Linked DNA regions of Astyanax mexicanus. The protein of the gene in region 1 interacts with the protein of each later gene in a pairwise test. Links are inferred from orthologs where the notes say so. Each region holds a gene or a part of one and is shown on either strand. Other genes may lie near its edges.

Region 1 (9,161 bases):
TTTAAAATATTATGACTTCACTACAATTGTGAACCCTAGCTATGTGTAACATGTTCTTCTGTGGTGTAAGAAGCTTGTTGGCCACATTGCACTGCTTGTAGCTACAGTGTAAACCCGCTGTAATCTCACAGTTCTTGTGTGTTTGTGCTGTGGTGTGTTTTTTATCTGCAGGCACTTCAGGCAGAAGTTTAAACTGTACCTGCTGTTCCTGCCGGAGCTGCTCTTCCTGCTCTGTCTCTTCGGTTATCTGGTCTTTATGATCTTCTATAAATGGCTGGCCTTTTCTGTCCAGGATTCGAGGACAGCCCCCAGTATCCTCATCCACTTCATCAGCATGTTCCTCATGCAGGGCAATGCCACCACACCACTGTATCCTGGACAGGTGTGTGTGTGTGTGTGTGTGTAGTATGTGTCTGATTGTTTATGTTAGCACAGCTTCATCTGTGTGTATGTGTGTGTGTGCGTTTATATATATGATAATTTGTGGCCTGATACTAATTTTAAAACAGCATTGTGTGAGAATTAGTGATTCTGCATGATTCTGAAGCAGATAGTTTAAGGTACAGCTGATACTGATACTGAGAGACCTATCTTACACCCTGTGTGAGGTGTGAACAGTCTATTTACACACCTACCTTGCACCTGCATTGTTTAAATAGCAATAGACTTAATACGACCTAGACAGACGTCAAAAGTCAGATGTTAGTTGCTATCTTGGTGCTCTGCATGTGAACACCCTGCACAAGCCCAACTTTTTCATCAACAATAAACAGAACACTAAATAAAATAACATTACTGTTCCCGTAAATGAGCTGCTGGCACACCTTTACAGTGTGAACGAGCAGATCAGTTTCCTCTGCTGAGAAGCTTTGAACACGTCCAGGTAGATACGCTGTTAAAATAGCAATCCGCCAGAGTCAGAGCTCACCTGGCTCTTAAAGGGAATAGCAAGACATGACATTCTGATTGGTTTATTTTAAGTTACCTATGATTAATTAAGAGAATTAGTTCATTCCTTTTGCATGTTTTGAGCCACCCAAGGTGTACTTTTCCTGTCATTACGATAGCAAAGACACACTGACATGCCCTAAATCAAGCTGCACTGTTACAGTGATGACTCAACTGTAGATCGCTAAAACATGGTCCTGAAATTTCTACAAACATCTTGAGATGTTTTTCTCTCTCCACTCATCCATCAAGCTCTCAGTAGGGTTTAATGCAGGTAATTGTGCTGTCATTGCATAATGCATTGGTTGCAAATCCAGTTATTTAAGTGCTTGTTTTTATCTAAGTAAGAAACAGACGGCTTGTATCATCCAACACATCTGCTCAACATCATTATGTGAGATCTGAAGATGGTGTAGTGTGGTATGATGCAATATAACTGCAACATGGTGTTTAGTGGTGGAGTGTGCATGTCTATGCTGTGTTTAATAGTGTGTTGTGTGTGTGTGTGTTACAGATGGGTCTGCAGGTGTTTCTGGTGGCCATGGCTCTGCTGTGTGTTCCTGTGCTCCTGCTGGGGAAACCGCTTTACCTCTACTGGCTTCATCACGGCAGCAAAAGCCTGGGAGTCCACAGGGTGTGTGTACGTGCGTGTTGACTACTGTGGGATGCTGCATGTAGAGACTGCATGAGTGTGTTCCAGTTCAGGGACAGGATTCTTTAAAGGATGTGGTGGATGGTGGCGCAGCTTTCGAAGGCTGTGTAGGCCATACAGGTCTACTCTACTCTATATGATTTTATCTGCTGTTTTCCTCGTCCAGTGCTCACTAATTGTGGTAAAAAACAATAATTCTACCCATTGGGTTGTACTGACTCCACCATACAGGCAGTCAGCTGTGTGTATGTGTTTTTTGTGCACCACCAATATAACATATTGTTTACTGCAGAATGAGGTAGGCATGATAAAAGCTTTTGTTTTTTTGTTTTTTTTAAGATAAAAGTGAATAATTCCACATGTTTGCACTACAGCCACAAAACATTTTTTCATTTATTTGTAATATTAAACATATTGATGTAAGATATTAGCTATGTAGGATAAAAGCTAATCTTGACCCATTGTTTTGATCTAATTTGCAAATAGTACCCTTGCTAGCTTTGTTTTTTTGTTTTTTTTCACAGTGTCTTATTTTTTTCTGTACAGGGCTATGAGCGAGTTCGCCGTTTAAGTGAGGACGATCTGTCCCCGTCTATCGTCCACGATGAAGAGGAAGGGCTGGATGATCACCCGGGTCGAGACTGCAGCCCAAAAGAGGTCCGATTCAAACTATCAAACTACAAACACTACCTGAACCTGATACACAGATATCTTTATTAAGAATTACTTAAATTACTATGTGGTTTCTCACACTCGTGTCCAAATATTTGTGGACAGCCCTCTAATGAATGCAGTTAGCTAATTTACAGCTAAGTTGCACCCATTGCAAACATCTAGTAAAACACCTTCTCCTGGACAGTTCAGACAGTTACTTTAACAAAAGCAGGATAAACTCTTTTTTCATTCCCTTAATTTTAAAATAAACCATGAAAAAGCTGGTGTCCCATGTTGTGTATTTGTTATGTGAGTTAATTTGTGTACTTTTGTTTGCAGTTTGATTTTGGGGATGTTTTCCTACATCAGGCCATTCACACTATAGAGTTCTGCCTGGGCTGCATCTCCAACACGGCATCGTACCTTCGCCTGTGGGCCCTCAGCCTGGCTCATGCTCGTTAGTACACACACACACACACACACATACACACTCATTGAGCATATTGAGCTACAAGTTTGCATTCCCTCTGTCTTGTCATAATCACTGTGTGTGAACTGGTCAAAGATGTGATCCGAGAGCTCGTCCACAATATCTAATATCTAGCAGGTTTAATATCTGGACTAGCCAGTGACTCCAGTAGTGTGAAAAGTGCTTTGACTGGACATTAATGCAGCGACTAGCTACAGCCAATGAGAATGCAGAATGAGAGTAATAAAAAAGGCAAGGTTGAGGTTGAGGTTGTCTATTGCCAAGAAAGCAATACGCCAGAAATTTACCTGAACTTTCCTTAATTTCCACACCACCACGCCCATCAGTGTAGATATATTCAAAAGCACTGTTGCTATTTAAACGAGGAAGGTGGAAGGCGTGAAAATAGACTGTTGGTAGGGTGTAAGATAGCAATAAGCACTGCAACGGTATCGCCTATAGACTTCTTATCTGTCTTTCTCTTGTGTATTACTACAATTCACATACTGTATTTGAATGCTTTTGTTATATAAAAATAAAATAAATGTTTTGTTTGTGTGTGCGTGTGCATGTGTATAACAGAGCTGTCGGAGGTGCTGTGGGCGATGGTCCTGCGTGTTGCTCTGAGGATTAACTCCAGGTTGGGGGTGCTGGTTCTCGCCCCTGTTTTCAGTCTCTTCGCCATCCTCACCGTCTCCATCCTGCTGATCATGGAGGGGCTCTCTGCCTTCCTGCACGCCCTGCGCCTACACTGGTCAGCACACACACTCAATATTACACTCACATGCCACAGACACTTCCAGCTAGATGCTGTTAGTCACCATAATTTTTACTCACTAAATTAAAGTGGGTGGGAGTATTAGCCTTCCTATGGTGTATGCTGCAGTTTTAGGGATTTTTTCTCTTATTTACTGTATAATCATTCTTTATTTCTCTCTGTCTCCAGGGTGGAGTTTCAGAACAAGTTCTACAGTGGAACAGGTGTAAAATTCGCCCCCTTCGACTTCTCCCTGCTTCCCTCCGTCTTCGAGCAGGATGGATTACTGTGAGCAGCGAGGAAATTCTGAGACCTGAGCTAATCCACCCTGGCTTACCATGACTTACACTCCTCCTGTTTCCTCACCGCAGCTCTGCAGCACTAACCACAGCAACCGGACGTTTCATCGCCTTTCCTTTTATACCATTTCAACATTCCAGCCCATCCCCCACTTTTTTATTAAAGCAGGATCAATCGAGACTGACTGCCTTAGATAAACACATTCATATCAGCGATATCTGCCACTGACTATCATCACCGGCTCCACCAAACTCAACATCACTCAACATCTGCCATATAACATCTTTAAATAAGTTTGTCAGTGCAGCCCTGCTGTTATATTTATATTTTATTAGAGATACGACCTCGACTTGGGAAACCCTCTTATTTATTCACAGACATTTCCATTTTCATATCGGATTTCAAAAGTGCCATAAGTATTTTTCCAGATACAGTTTTGTATGCTACTCTGAAATGGGAATATTGAATTTATTGAGCCGTCTCTATCCCGTGGATCTGAAGCACGCACACGCACACATTATGAAGTAAAAAAAAATACTTGTGATGTTTCAGGTAAACTTCGCAAGTAAAAGAAAAAAATAGCCATCATTTTCATACTAGATAGAATTTTCATTGAAATTTTCATTGAGTACAGTATTAAAGCATCATTTGCAAAAAGAGAGATTTCTGGTGGCTTGTCGTCTTTCTTATTTGTAGCTTTAAGTTCTGTAAGTTGTGTAAGAGGTGGGCAGAGCCTACATGAGCATCAATGATAAACCTGGGTGCTTATCGGTACATTAGGGACATTTTCAGTACATTAGGTGCTGAACACTTCATTCTGGAACACCAAACAAGACTTGCCTGATGTTCTAGAGATGTTCTGACTCAGACATTAATACAGGTTATTCTACGATAATTGTATATATCATTTGAGAGTGTTCAAAACCAACATATTTATTCAACAAAACTTGATTTAAATAATTTATCTGCTTTTCATTTGGATCTAAACTTCTAAACTGTAGCATGTATGATTGGACGCACCTTTGAATATGTTCTGCATTGTAGTTTAACATTTTCTCAGACAGCTTTATAAAGTATAGTCACCTAGAATGGCTTTAAGTTAACAGCTGTGCTGAACTCATCAAGAATTAATTGCCCTCTTAATGTGTTTGAGAAGAATTGTAGTTGGTATACAGTGATTTTGTTTCAACTATTGGGGTTATGTAAAGTAAGTAAAGCAAAAAATACTTAACTTTTTCAGAAATGAAGGTTAGTCAATCTGAAAAATTTCAAGAACTTTGAAAATATCCTTACGTGCAGTCACAAAAACCATTTAAAAAATATGATGAAACTGGCACTTATCAGGACCAGTACCCAGATAAGAGCCCAGCTAAATGTTTCACTTTTAGGTTCACTACATGACTCCTTATGCTTCGCTTCATAGTCTAGATTAATTCAGTATTCATTTACAATGTATGAAAAATAAATAAATAAAAACATATACAACCTTACTGTATAACAACAACATCAACTCTAAGAACTGGTCCATTTTTTACATAATATACAATATACAGTCCAAACTGTCACAGTCTGAGCTTAAATACTTATCTTAAACCTTGTTCAGAACTCTAAGTATAAATGCTGACACTTAATTTGGGTTATAGTAGAGCGTAGCGCGATTTTAAACCATTTGTAAAACTTTTAAAAATGATTTTATATAAATCGCAGCTGAATGGATGCGCCTTTGGTGCGAAGGTATCGTGCGCATGCGCAGTTCTCGCCTGTGGACTCCGGGTGAAGAAAATAGAACACGAAATGGCGTCCGCTGCAGGTAACGGTTACAATAATGCAAGAAAAACGATTATTTATAATGAAACGTAGACTATTATCATCAGATATTGGTTGAAGAATATATAAGCATATTGTATGTGATGTTTGTATCTGTATAATGTTGTTAAATCGATTATAATTAGGCTTATTTGGCTGGTTTATGAACGTGAGCATTCTACCGTTAGCTGGCTATTCAGCTATTTGAGCTAAGCGTTACCGGTAGATTGAGCTTTTTAACGCTTACATAGACATTGTCGGTCAGTATAGCTTATTTAGCTAGCTGTATTCGTGGGTGTAAAACGTTGTTTAGACATTGTGCAGTAAGCTATTTTATGTTCGCTAGCTTGTAAATTCAGTTAAACGTGATTAGAATGACTGGCTAACCTAGTTAGCTAACTAGCTAGCTCTCTAGCCCATTATTCTAAGGCGGTGGGCGTAACTAGTTAGCTAGCATTTTTGCATTTCTGACTCAAAAAAGAGAATTTAAACGCTTAAAAATCGCATTGAAATATTTTTTAGCTTGTCCTTATTATATAATATCGAAATGATCTGTGGAAAATTAGATAAATAGGTTATCTAGGTTTTTAACTAGTTATTTTTTACCACAAAACATCAGTAGGGTATAGAAGCCCATTCCCGCCGGCTAAAATAAAAAAATAAAATAAAATCCAGCACATTTTTTTGTGATATAAACAGCTTCCTTATTATTTTGAGATACTTGTTCATTATTTTGAGATACTGTTTCGTTATTTTGAGGTACTAGTATAACTTACTGTACAGAGACATAAACAGGTAAGATAAATACTAAAAAGAATGATAGAGCAGTATTACTCAATAATAGTAAGAAAATAAAATATTTTTTGTAAAAAAAAAAACACAGCACAATATCAAGCTATTGCTTCATTTTTATTTATTTTCATTTAAAAAACATTATTTATTTAAAACATTAAATAAATGTTTTTATGAATATTAAGCACCCGCCTTTTAACTGTACACGCAGCTTTTATATTAAACACATTGTCTAATCATAACCTACTTGCAAGTTTGTATTTAAGGTAAAGTTTAAAATGATGAAAATCACTGCCACATAAAAGCGCAAATGTCCATCTACTAAGATTCCCTCTGTAGCTTATATATGTAAAGATGTACAATCAGAATTACCCCCATTTTGAAAATCACATTATAACAGTAATTAATTACTGTAAACCAACAGTAAGGCATTTTGATCATCAGCCTGTTTTGAATTAACTTGCTAGTTTCTTTTTTTATTCGTTTAGTTCTGTCTTGTATATGTTTGGCTAGTAAGGATACAACATTCAGGATTAAAGAACCTTTAACTAAAGTGCCCCTTCTGAACTGAAGAAACAGATTATTTAGTTGGGAGAACTATTTGTTAAAGGAAGGGATTAGCTCATTTGTTGGAGGACTAAACTTCACAGTATTGGAACAAATTAACCTTGGTGTACTGTTTCTGTGATATGTAAAAAATTAGAGTAATGTGTATAACTTGTAGCATTAACTGTATTTAATTTTATTTTAATTATTTATCAAATTGTTTTTTTTATTGATTGACACATTAGGATACAATTGTGTATTCTCTTAAGTAAGGCTGAAATAATGCAGAATCTTTTTGCCTTAGGTGGGCACAATTAATATGAATTTTAACAGTATTTTTTTAATAAGTAGTTTAAATTCTGTCTATAAAATAAGCGCATCATGTCAAAAGTGGCTCTGCTTCTTCAGCTGATGAGGGAGTTCTTCTAGGAACTAGGTAATTATGAATTTCTCATGTGTATTCTCAGGAGTGTTATAACACCTCTGGTGTATGCAATAATTGTTTTGGGATGCACAATAATTAATAATAGCCATAAAAAACAGTCAGAAGGGCTGGTAGGTTTTCGTTTTATTTCTTCTAGGTTGTATGTATGGTATAAACATAATTTTTTACACTGACTGTGTTTTTTATTACCACAGATTATAACAGTTACGGGCAGGCCGGAGGCCAGCAAGGGTAAGAATACTGCTTTTAAGTATAGAAAATATTAATTAATTAATATAAATTAATATTTATATATAATTGTTTCTGAATATATATATATAATGGTTATTTTGCTTGTTAATGTTAGTGTATTTTTTTTTCCAGGTACAGCTCCTATGCTGCCCAGCCCTCTCAGGCCTACGGACAGGGTGCCCAGGTAACACACTCAGATAATTTATTCCTATTTTAAAGGATCAGTCAGTATGGCTACATGAGTCCACTTTCCAAACACCTGATTAAGTTTCCTGCACTAGCCACACAGTGGCAAGTGACAACAAGTCTTACTCTGTAAAGATGTACGTTTCAGTGTCCAAAATGTCTCTGTCTACTACACTATTGGAGGTGTTAAATTACTCAGCTTTGGTTAGCAACCTTACTGAAGCTCAGTGATTACCTGTTCAACAGAAAAATAGCCAGCTCACCCGTTTCCATGGCTGTAGCACACTGTTTGCATGCTGATGTGTTCTATACCTGGTAACCCTGAGTGTGGAAATGGTACTAGGGGAATGGATGCACTACATATTTGAACACAGTTCACAGTTCAAATATTGCAGCTGAATCTTATGCTCTGCTGGGAAGAGGTGTCCGTGCTTAAACTCATGTTTCCTTAATATCTGATGATGCATCCTGATCATGTAATAAAGAACTACAGAAAATTTAATCCGTAATGGGCCTTTAAAGCCTCTGGTTATAAGCAAGTTAGTGTTAAATACTCCTGACATTAAAAACAGTAAAAGAATGTATTTTAAATCTATTTTTTCCCCAAAAAACACACAGAAAATTATGTTATATAAAAAAGTATATAACTGTGTCGGCTGAGTTTTGTATCTTTAAAAAAAAATGTCCTAAATGTTCTATGTTCTTAATATTAATGTGCACTGAGTTTTATCTAGAGTCTTGGGAATGTGAATAAGCTTATGATGCGCTTCTGTTTCTCCAGCAATCATACGGACAGCAGCAGGGCTATGGCTCATACACCCAACCTGCTGATTCAGCCTACCCTCAAACTGGCAGCTCATCTGGGAGTTACGGTCAGCAGGCTTATGGGTCGTCATATGGGCAGCAGCCACCAGCCAGCAGTAAGTCATTCATCATGGATTTAAACTGTTATACAGATTTGACGCTCCAGTGTTAAAAAGCAAGTTTTTAATTAAGTTGATGTCCTGTACTGATCTAAAGTTGTAATTAGTTGTAATGTAGAATCTAATGGTAACATTTAAAAAAATATTTTTCATACTAATGAGTAATTTAGGAATTTGTTAAAGTACATATTCTTTGTGTTAGACTAGATTCTGTACTGGCATTTTGTATATGTATATATTTCAAAAATGAATGAAAACATTTTTTTTCTATTAATAAAAACTAAATAATTATGGATGCACTGAATATTTGGCAACGGAAATTCGGCCAAAAAATGGCAAAACAAAAGCTACGATGTGAAAGCTAGCATAAGATGTACAATTAAGTGATTTAACAAAAATTTAAATTTTTGGCCAAAATTGAAGAGAATAAAACATTCGACTGATTACCAAAC
Region 2 (8,670 bases), on another chromosome or scaffold:
CTCTAACTAACTACCTTCTACTACCAGATCAGGAGAATCTCTCGCTATCTTTAAGAAACTCCTGAAGACACAACTCTTCAAAGAGCACTTACTCTCTTAACACCTCTAACACACTAACTACTTCTAACCTCATTTCCTTCTTCCCCTCCTTCACTCCTCTATCCCATTATTTCCCTTTGACCTCCTTTTATCCCTATCCAAAGATGTTTTACCTTTAAACTTATTTTACATTGTACTTGACTATTGTAAGTCGCTTTGGACAAAATGTAATGTAATGTAATGTAATGTATGAATTTGCAGTGTCTGTTGTTTTACAGTCTGTGATTAACACATGTTTAGTGATTTAATTCCGCTATAAATCTGCATTATAGTTTTTATGGTCCTCCAGTGTTAATTGTGGAGATATTTTAATCCAGTATGAATCCAAAGTGTGTAGATTTTAAAATCTAACAATAATAATTGTGAAGTGATGTTAATCCAGTATGAATCTTCAGTGATTGTCTGCGGTGTAGTGCAGTGATACCTGGCCGTGTTCTGCTGCTGCTGCTGGGAGCTGAGGGGGGTGGAGATTTGTTCTCCGGCTGAAAGCAGAGCTGCAGAGAGACACACACTGAACGCAGCGCTGGAGCCCAACCCTGCACCTGTGGGCAGCTCTGACCACACACACACACTCAGACTGGGCAAAACGCTGACCACACACACCACACAGACACAGACACACCACACAAATTATTCTACAAACTTAATCTTAGATTTTGCAAGAATCTTTTGATTAATTAAAATAATTTTGCTTTAAAGTAAATAGAAATTGTGTAAAAGAGCCTATTAAATATCAGGATTCATTATGGATCATTACAGATACTTTACTTTAAAACTATCAAGTACTCATGCATCGAGGAAAAGGAAATCCTGTATAGAAGAAAAAGATGCATCAAAATGCTCAATAATCACATAAAACTAATCAAACTGTAATCAAATCAAATCGCACGGTGACCTAGAATTTCCCACCCCTATTTAAGTGTTCTATTGTGAATAAATTCTATGTCTATGTTTTTTTTTTTTAAATCAATGCATTCTGTTTTATTCATATTTTACACAGCATCCTGACTATTTTTAATTAGTGTTGTAGAAAGTAATGCAGACTGAAGAGTGTGCGAGATCTTACTCTGCGTCTGAGAACACACTGAGGTAGATGTAGAGGAAAGCTAGCACTGCCATGCTCCTGGTGTCGGTGGATCCTTCAGCGATGCCCGTGAACTCCCTCAGCTTCTTCACCAGGTTCAGATCCAGATCATTATCAACGCTGCTGTCAACTACAGCAGAAAAACAAAATCACTGTAAATCATGGGACACTTGGTTTCAATAGGGCTGCGACTAATAATTATTTTCAGATTAGTCATCGATTATTTCTGCTATTCCCTGAGTTCCTGTTTCTAGCTTTCTCCATCCCTTTTAAACAATAGAAACAGCTGAACATGGGATTTAAATGCTGTTCAGATCTCCAGAACATTGATTTTTAAACATGGAAAGTGCTGATATTTAGTTGATTGAAGACTATGTGAGTGAGCCCATTAAAAGGGTTGGGTATCAAAATTCATTACCATGAATTTTGACAATGACAAAAAGTTTAAAAATGTGGTGTTTATTTTTTATACTTTCCATGAAACACACAAACATGCCAAACGTTGAGAGCACAATCTAATACTGTTTTTTTTTTTTTTTTTAACTTTTAAATCCTGAACTGCATTTAGCAATATGCTTAGGAGAAAATATGTATAATTGATATTAAATGTTATATAATAATAATATAAAGTGCCATAAACACACAAATGCTCATTGTATTCATTCCAACAAGATCCACGAATAGTGTCTCATAACGACAGTATGAGGACTAGATTACTCATGTCGGCTGTTACATAAATATGTTCTGTATTGTTAAAATAAATATTGCCTTTTTTGTTATTTTTTTGTCACATTAAAAAAACAATTAAGAAAAATCTATCATTTGTAAAAAAAAAAAAAAGTATCATTTGGGTCTCAGAATCAAATTCAAAGTGACATATTGGTTTCAAAAACAATGTTACTAAAGCAGCCCGACCTATTACCCTTCTTTCATTGTGTTTCTGTCCTCAGTACTTTATGTAGTACTACATATAAATGATTAGTTAACAATAAACTTTTTTTTTTTTTATAATCGATACTGTCGATTATATCGACTAATCGTTGCAGCTCTAGTTTTAAACAGGCCTGAGGTAAACGCAGCTCATCCTCACCTGTTAAATCAGACAGTAAGGGCTGCAGTTCTGTAACGTCCCACGTCAGGAAGGTGTCGATGTTGGGGAGGTTGATGGTCACTTCTCCGGACGTGGTGGAGAGCAGACGCAGGTACGTCCGCAGATTCAAGCTCACAGCCAGAGCCACCTGTTTACACACAGCAGAGATCAATAACTTTATCTTTATCTTTATATTTGTTAATATGATGATTCTGATGTGACTATTCACAACAGTGACAGTCTGAACTCTTAAAACATTAATATTGTAGTTTTTAAATTAATTTGAACTTGTTTTCTTTGCATTATTTGAGGTCTGAAAGCTCTGCATCTTTTTTTTATTTGAGACATTTCTCATTTTCTGTAAATAAATGCTCTAAATGACAATATTTTTACTTGGAATTTGGAATATATGTTGTTCGTAGATTTTAGAATAAAAAACAATGAATATTTTACTTAAACATAAACCTATAAATAGTCAAATCAGAGAAACTGATCATTTTGAAGTGGTCTCGTCTCGTTTTTTTTTATTTATTATATTATATTATTTTTTGCCATTTTAACACATTTAAAAACATTAATACACTCAATTTAAAGGATAAATCGTAAGCACTGCTGCTTTAAAGACTCTCACTCACCTTCCCATGAACCACTGCGTGCTCTCCATGCAGGATGGACTTTCCTGGAGCTGAAACAAAGCACTGCTTCACCTGCATCTCCAATATTAATATCTACAACCCAAAAAAAGCGACATTTATTACTGATATAAATCAAAACACATTTAAAAACACTCTGCAGGCATGTAAACACGTGTATTAGTGTGGCTGAGATGTGTGTTATACAGATAAATACAGGCATATAACTCACTGACACTTACCACAAACTGCACACAAACTTTATATAAATTAATAACACAAAAATAATGAGATTAAAAGCCTAAAAACACAAATTTAGCCCAGAAAACGGAGTAAAACTGACTAAAATCCTTCACTCTGCTCCTCATCTCGCTCAGCAAACTCTCTAAGCCAGCACGCCTGTGACGTAGAACCACAACTGACCCAACGGACCAATCAGAGCGCGGACCGCAGTGCATTGACCGCAGATCGTCCAATCACAACACAGAGCGCAGTGCACTGACCGCAGATCGTCCAATCAGATCGCGCGTCTCCGCCTCCTGCTGAGGGTCGGGTGATGGAACCAGAGCTGGTTTATAGCGAGACTGCCCACTCCCTGTCGCCTCCGTTATAACAGCAAATTACTGAACACCGCTAGAGGGAGCCCGCGAGTAAGACCAAAATGAATGTGTTTGAATGGAGCTAAACGCTAAAACCTCGAGAAAAAATTTTTAAAAAATAATTAACTACTTGATCAGGACATTCATTTAATTACAGACAGTATAATAAAGTATTTTCATAATAAATAAAAGAAAAAATACCTGTAGCTTTCATTATTTTACAGTAAACTTTAGCACTCTAGCATTGCTGATAGTCTAGGCTCTATCTGCCTATCTATCTATCAAGTCAAGTAGTTTTATTGTCAATACTGCATATGTACAGGACATACAGATATTTGAAATTACATTACTTTCCTTCCCAAATTTTACAGCAGGTACAGATAATAGATATAATAAAAGAGAATGGGAGACACCATGTGTACAATACAGCAGGAACACATAGACATACATGAGACAGAAAACAAAGTGCAGTAGTGGTGGGTTGTGAAATAAGATGTATATTATAAAAGAATGGGAGGCACTATATGTACAATACAACAAGGGCATACGTAAGACGAAAGACAATAGTGCAATATTGATGGTGATTGAGATGGAATGACAGTATAAATAGAACCCGTATAACATTTTTGCAAATATGGTATATTGCTTAAGGCGGGTAAGGAGGATGAGTGCGTAAAGTTCTTAAAGTTCACAGTTCTTGGGGAATTAAAGTGTCTATCTATCTATCTATCTATCTATCTATCTATCTATCTATCTATCTATCTATCTATCTATCTATCTATCTATCTATCTATCTATCTAAGAGTTCTAGATACTTTTCTTTACTCTGTCTGTCTGTCTATCCTGGGCTAGGTAAGTTTATATCAGGGTTTTTTTTGAAAACAAACTCTTTTTCTGTTTACTACCTAATTGCAAGTCTTTAACAATAATTACTTACGTAGTAAATAATAAAAATTATAAAGAACAAATGTAAATAAGAACGTATGTCCAAACTTTAGACTTGGACTGTATATATTATACTTTAAAAAATAAAAACAAAGCAAGATTAAAAGAGGCTGTAAGACAAGTGAAGTAGACTAAAAAGAAGTTCTATTAGTACTTTTATTGCTATTTTTATCATGTTCTTTTCAAACACCTGTAACAACCTTACAGTAGATTTTGGGTCTCGTTTTAACAGATTTATGTGTAGATAATACAAAACCCTTTTTTCTCTGCCGTAAAATAAATTATTTTATTATTTTATTTTATTATGTAATCTCCTACAGGACACTTGAAGTAACTGCCTGTCCATCTTCTACTTCCCTTAATAATTGTAGATCAGTAACAGGAATCAAACCCAAATTCTGCATTCTGTATTTTAAAATTAAGTTTAGGATTTTTTTTTTGGGTGGGGGGTTATGATTTTTATTCATTAAATTTTGACAGGTGCAGATTAAAAAACTGAAAGGGGTTAAGGCATGTTTCAGACAGGCTTTGGGCAAGATGCTTTTTAACGGACATGGCAACCCTGGTAAATTTATGCTGAATGCACAGCCTGAGAACGTTTGATTTTGAGTGAGTTTAACATCTTAAGAAAATATGTCTACATTATTAAAACCTTTAATATTATTCTGAATTGAGGAAATTATTATTTTTTTGCTCAGTTTTGCTTCATAGGAACGCATTCATTTTAAACTCAGCAGCGCCCTCTGGTGGTCAAACCCAGCCAGAGGAGAATCACTGTGAAGTGGTCAGTCTCCTCTCTATACGCTCTCTGATCGCACGCATGAACTCTGAGACGGGGGTACGGGTAGCGAAGCAGACCAATCTTCACGCGTTGTAAACAGGGGAAAGGCGTTGTGTAATAGAGGGGTCGGTGATGGCCGCGGCGGCGGGGCGCTGTGTGCAGCAGCTGCGGGGTGTAGTAGTACTCCGGCCGGCGTGTGCGTGGTCCCTACAGCCGCTGTGTGGAGCTGGACGGAGGTAAATACAGATAACCAGCCGGCTGTGGATTATTAACTGATTATACAGGCTGTTAATGCCTGTAATCTGGACTGTGCTTGTGTTTATCTGGTTGTGAGGTTCTCTGTTACCTGATTTAATGATTTTTGAGCTCTGATATTTTTATTTTTACCCCGTTAGAAGGTTAAATGAGGTTCTGAGGAGCTACAGTGAGTCTGTTAATGATTTAAAGCTCTAAATAGCTGACTGAGATGGAGAATAAAAAATACAAATAAGTGAATTAATGCATGTTATAGTGTTTTTATGCAGTATATATAAATCCTGTAACCTACAGTTTAACTATTCAAAGTCTTTAATATCAATTAAAGACTTTGAATTTAGGTGTTTGAAGCCTGAGACTGAGAGGATGAATTGGAATGAAACTTTTATGCTTCGCACCAAACCCCACTCTGAATATATAAATACAATTCATTAACCATACAGCATACTGGTGTTTATTGTTTATTAATCTGACCATCTAACCATCAGTGTTTTTCCATCTTTCTGAAACAGGTATGCCACAAAGTCTGATGGAGATGGACCAGTTCCCAAGATATACACCAAAACTGGAGATAAAGGTAATGAGAATTCTCAAACTGACGTGAACACAACACGCTTGGAGGAGAACACTAACTTGTAATACTGTTACATCAGCTAAGCAGCTACAGACCCCTACACTAGCTAGCTTTCCCATGCTACAGATCACAGAAAGGCCCACCACATACAGCTCTGGAAAAAAATAATAAGAGAGCACTTAAAAATGATTTTCTTTGATTTTACCAAACTAAAAACCTCTAGAATATAATCAAGAGGAAGATGGATGATCACAAGCCATCAAACCACCAAACTGAACTGCTTGATTTTTTGCACCAGGAGTAAAGCAGCATAAAGTTATCCAAAAGCAGTGTGTAAGACTGGTGGAGGAGGAGAACATGATGCCAAGATGCATGAAAACTGTGATTAAAAACCACCAGGGTAATTCCACCAAATATTGATTTCTGAACTCTTAAAACTTTATGAATATGAACTAGTTTTTTTCTTTGCATTATTTGAGGTCTGAAAGCTCTGCATCTTTTTTGCTCTAAATGACAATATTTTTATTTGGAATTTGGGAGAAATGATATCCATAGTTTATAGAATAAAACAACAATGTTCATCAAACGTAAACCTATAAATAGCAAAACCCGAGAAACTGAAGTGCTCTCTTTTCTTAATTTTTTCTCAGAGCTGAAATAATAAATATACATATTGTGGTTTTGGCGTTAGAAATAGCGTGTAAAGGATTGAGTTTTGTAATGAATCTTGATTTTACAGATCTGAAAATTCGTACTTTTTCTTCGTAGGGTTTTCCAGCACTTTCACAGGAGAGAGGAGGCCCAAGGAGGACCATATTTTTGAAGCCTTGGGAACAACAGATGAGCTCTCTTCAGCTGTAGGGTGGGTGATCAGTTCTAGACCAGAGCGTTGGTCGGTTCTGGATAATTTTTTGCTTACTGTTTTTCCTGTTCTTGTTTTTAGGCTGGCCAGAGAGTTCTGCCTGGAGAAAGGACATTCCTTCACAGATCAGCTGGATAAGGTGTGTGTCATTATTATTATTATTATTATTATTATTATTATTATATCTGAAGTATTTTAATAATTGTAAGGACAGTCTGAGTGTGGTTTATCTGTTTCTTCATACAGATCCAGTGTGTTCTGCAGGACGTGGGCTCGAACATCGCCACTCCACGATCTTCAGCCAGAGACAGCCACATTAGTACGTGTCCTCTGTTTGAGCTGGGCTAACTAGAGTGTGATAGAAGGAGAAAGCAGAAGAAGTTCAGCCTGCTTTTTAGTCTCTGAGATAATCTCTGTTTTAATTTTCCATTCCACCTTAAATGGTGGAGCTGTTACATTAAAGGAGAACTCTGGTGTTAAATAGACTTTTGTTGTAGTAAAACATGATAAAGCTTTCCGAGATCCAGTAATTTTGTGCTTTTTGTCCAGCACTCTGTACAATGGCCGCATCGAGGCATATTTTGCCCCAATAAATCACTTTTTACACCGTTATCCAGGCCTAAAGTAGCTCCACACCTCCTTGGTAGAATGCTAGCTTCAGCTCTGAGAGCCGCCATCACTGTGCTGATAATAACATAAGATATGTATACATAGACTCCACATAACCTGCAGGATGTCTATGCCATTATCAGTACAGTGATGGCGGCGCTCAGAGCTGAAGCTCACATTATGGGTTGTAAACAGTGGTGTTTAATAAGCTTCTCGTACACGTTTTAAGTTATTAATGCCTCGTTTTAAATGTCAGGGCTCTCTGGATTCTACCAGTGAGGTGTGGAGCTACTTTAAGATGGATAACAGTGTAAAAAGTCATTATCTGGGCAAAATATGCCCCGATACGGCCGTTGTACAGAGTGCTGGACCAAAAGCACAAAATAACTGGATCTCAGAAAGCTGTAGGAGAGCGAAGGTGGGCTATTGACAACGTTTAGTACTCTTTATTAGTTAGTACTACACCCAAAGTCAATTTCACACCAGAGTTCTCCTTCAATTTAAGGTGGAATAGAACCTTATAATTAAACATCCAGCTAATTCTGTGTGTGTGTGTGTGTGTGTGTGTGCTGTCTGTACTTTTTAAATCAGAAAGGACTAAGTTCAGCAGTCAGCCGGTGTTGGAGCTGGAGAGCTGGATAGACTCCTACACAGCAGAGCTTCCCCCGCTTACTAACTTCATACTGCCGGTAAATCTGTTCCACCAGTGCCTGTTTACTGTGGTGATCATTACACTGTCAGAGAAATTATGCATTCTGCTTCGTAGTTCTTTTTAGTTCAATCAACTTCAAATCACAGATATAGTTGTTATATAACTAAGAAAGGGCTAACTGATGTGTAAATATAGTTTAGAACTGTCGTAACTCATAACATGATCAGGATGTTTCATCAAGCTCTGCCAGCTATTGTCAGCAGAGCTTCATCTAGTATTTTCTTATTTGAACTTTGCAGTATGTCACGCTAATCTGTGTGGGTTGTAGCCTCTGAATCTGCTCACTGCCATTCCCCTAGTCTAATTTATACTGATTGTTTAATACAGTATGAAAAGGTTACAGATTATCACAGTTACAATGCAGTGGTATTACTCTTAGTGTCCCAAACACAGTACTGATCTAATGATACTGAAAGAGAAAAGATTAC

The links.
Region 2: the proteins of ewsr1a (region 1) and mvk interact in a two-hybrid assay, tested with the Homo sapiens proteins (2 studies listed by BioGRID and IntAct). The two-hybrid records come from large-scale screens. The link is inferred for Astyanax mexicanus from reciprocal best matches to the Homo sapiens genes EWSR1 and MVK.

What each region holds. Positions count from the first base shown.
Region 1 is NC_064427.1:20,602,658-20,611,818, reverse strand, and holds the start of ewsr1a (EWS RNA-binding protein 1a), read left to right. Parts: upstream 1-5,526; 5' UTR 5,527-5,574; coding exon 5,575-5,590; intron 5,591-7,563; coding exon 7,564-7,600; intron 7,601-7,732; coding exon 7,733-7,784; intron 7,785-8,567; coding exon 8,568-8,706; intron 8,707-9,161. Other genes in the region: atp6v0a2a (V-type proton ATPase 116 kDa subunit a 2), read left to right, coding at 172-382, 1,463-1,588, 2,147-2,257, 2,594-2,711, 3,306-3,477, 3,670-3,772. UniProt on the Homo sapiens protein: Binds to ssRNA containing the consensus sequence 5'-AGGUAA-3'. Might normally function as a transcriptional repressor. EWS-fusion-proteins (EFPS) may play a role in the tumorigenic process.
Region 2 is NC_064429.1:9,746,825-9,755,494, forward strand, and holds the start of mvk (mevalonate kinase), read right to left. Parts: upstream 3,316-8,670; 5' UTR 3,148-3,315; intron 3,002-3,147; 5' UTR 2,987-3,001; coding exon 2,909-2,986; intron 2,422-2,908; coding exon 2,274-2,421; intron 1,314-2,273; coding exon 1,166-1,313; intron 689-1,165; coding exon 524-688; intron 1-523. Other genes in the region: mmab (corrinoid adenosyltransferase), read left to right, coding at 5,363-5,466, 5,998-6,062, 6,828-7,060, 7,168-7,240, 8,122-8,219. UniProt on the Homo sapiens protein: Catalyzes the phosphorylation of mevalonate to mevalonate 5-phosphate, a key step in isoprenoid and cholesterol biosynthesis.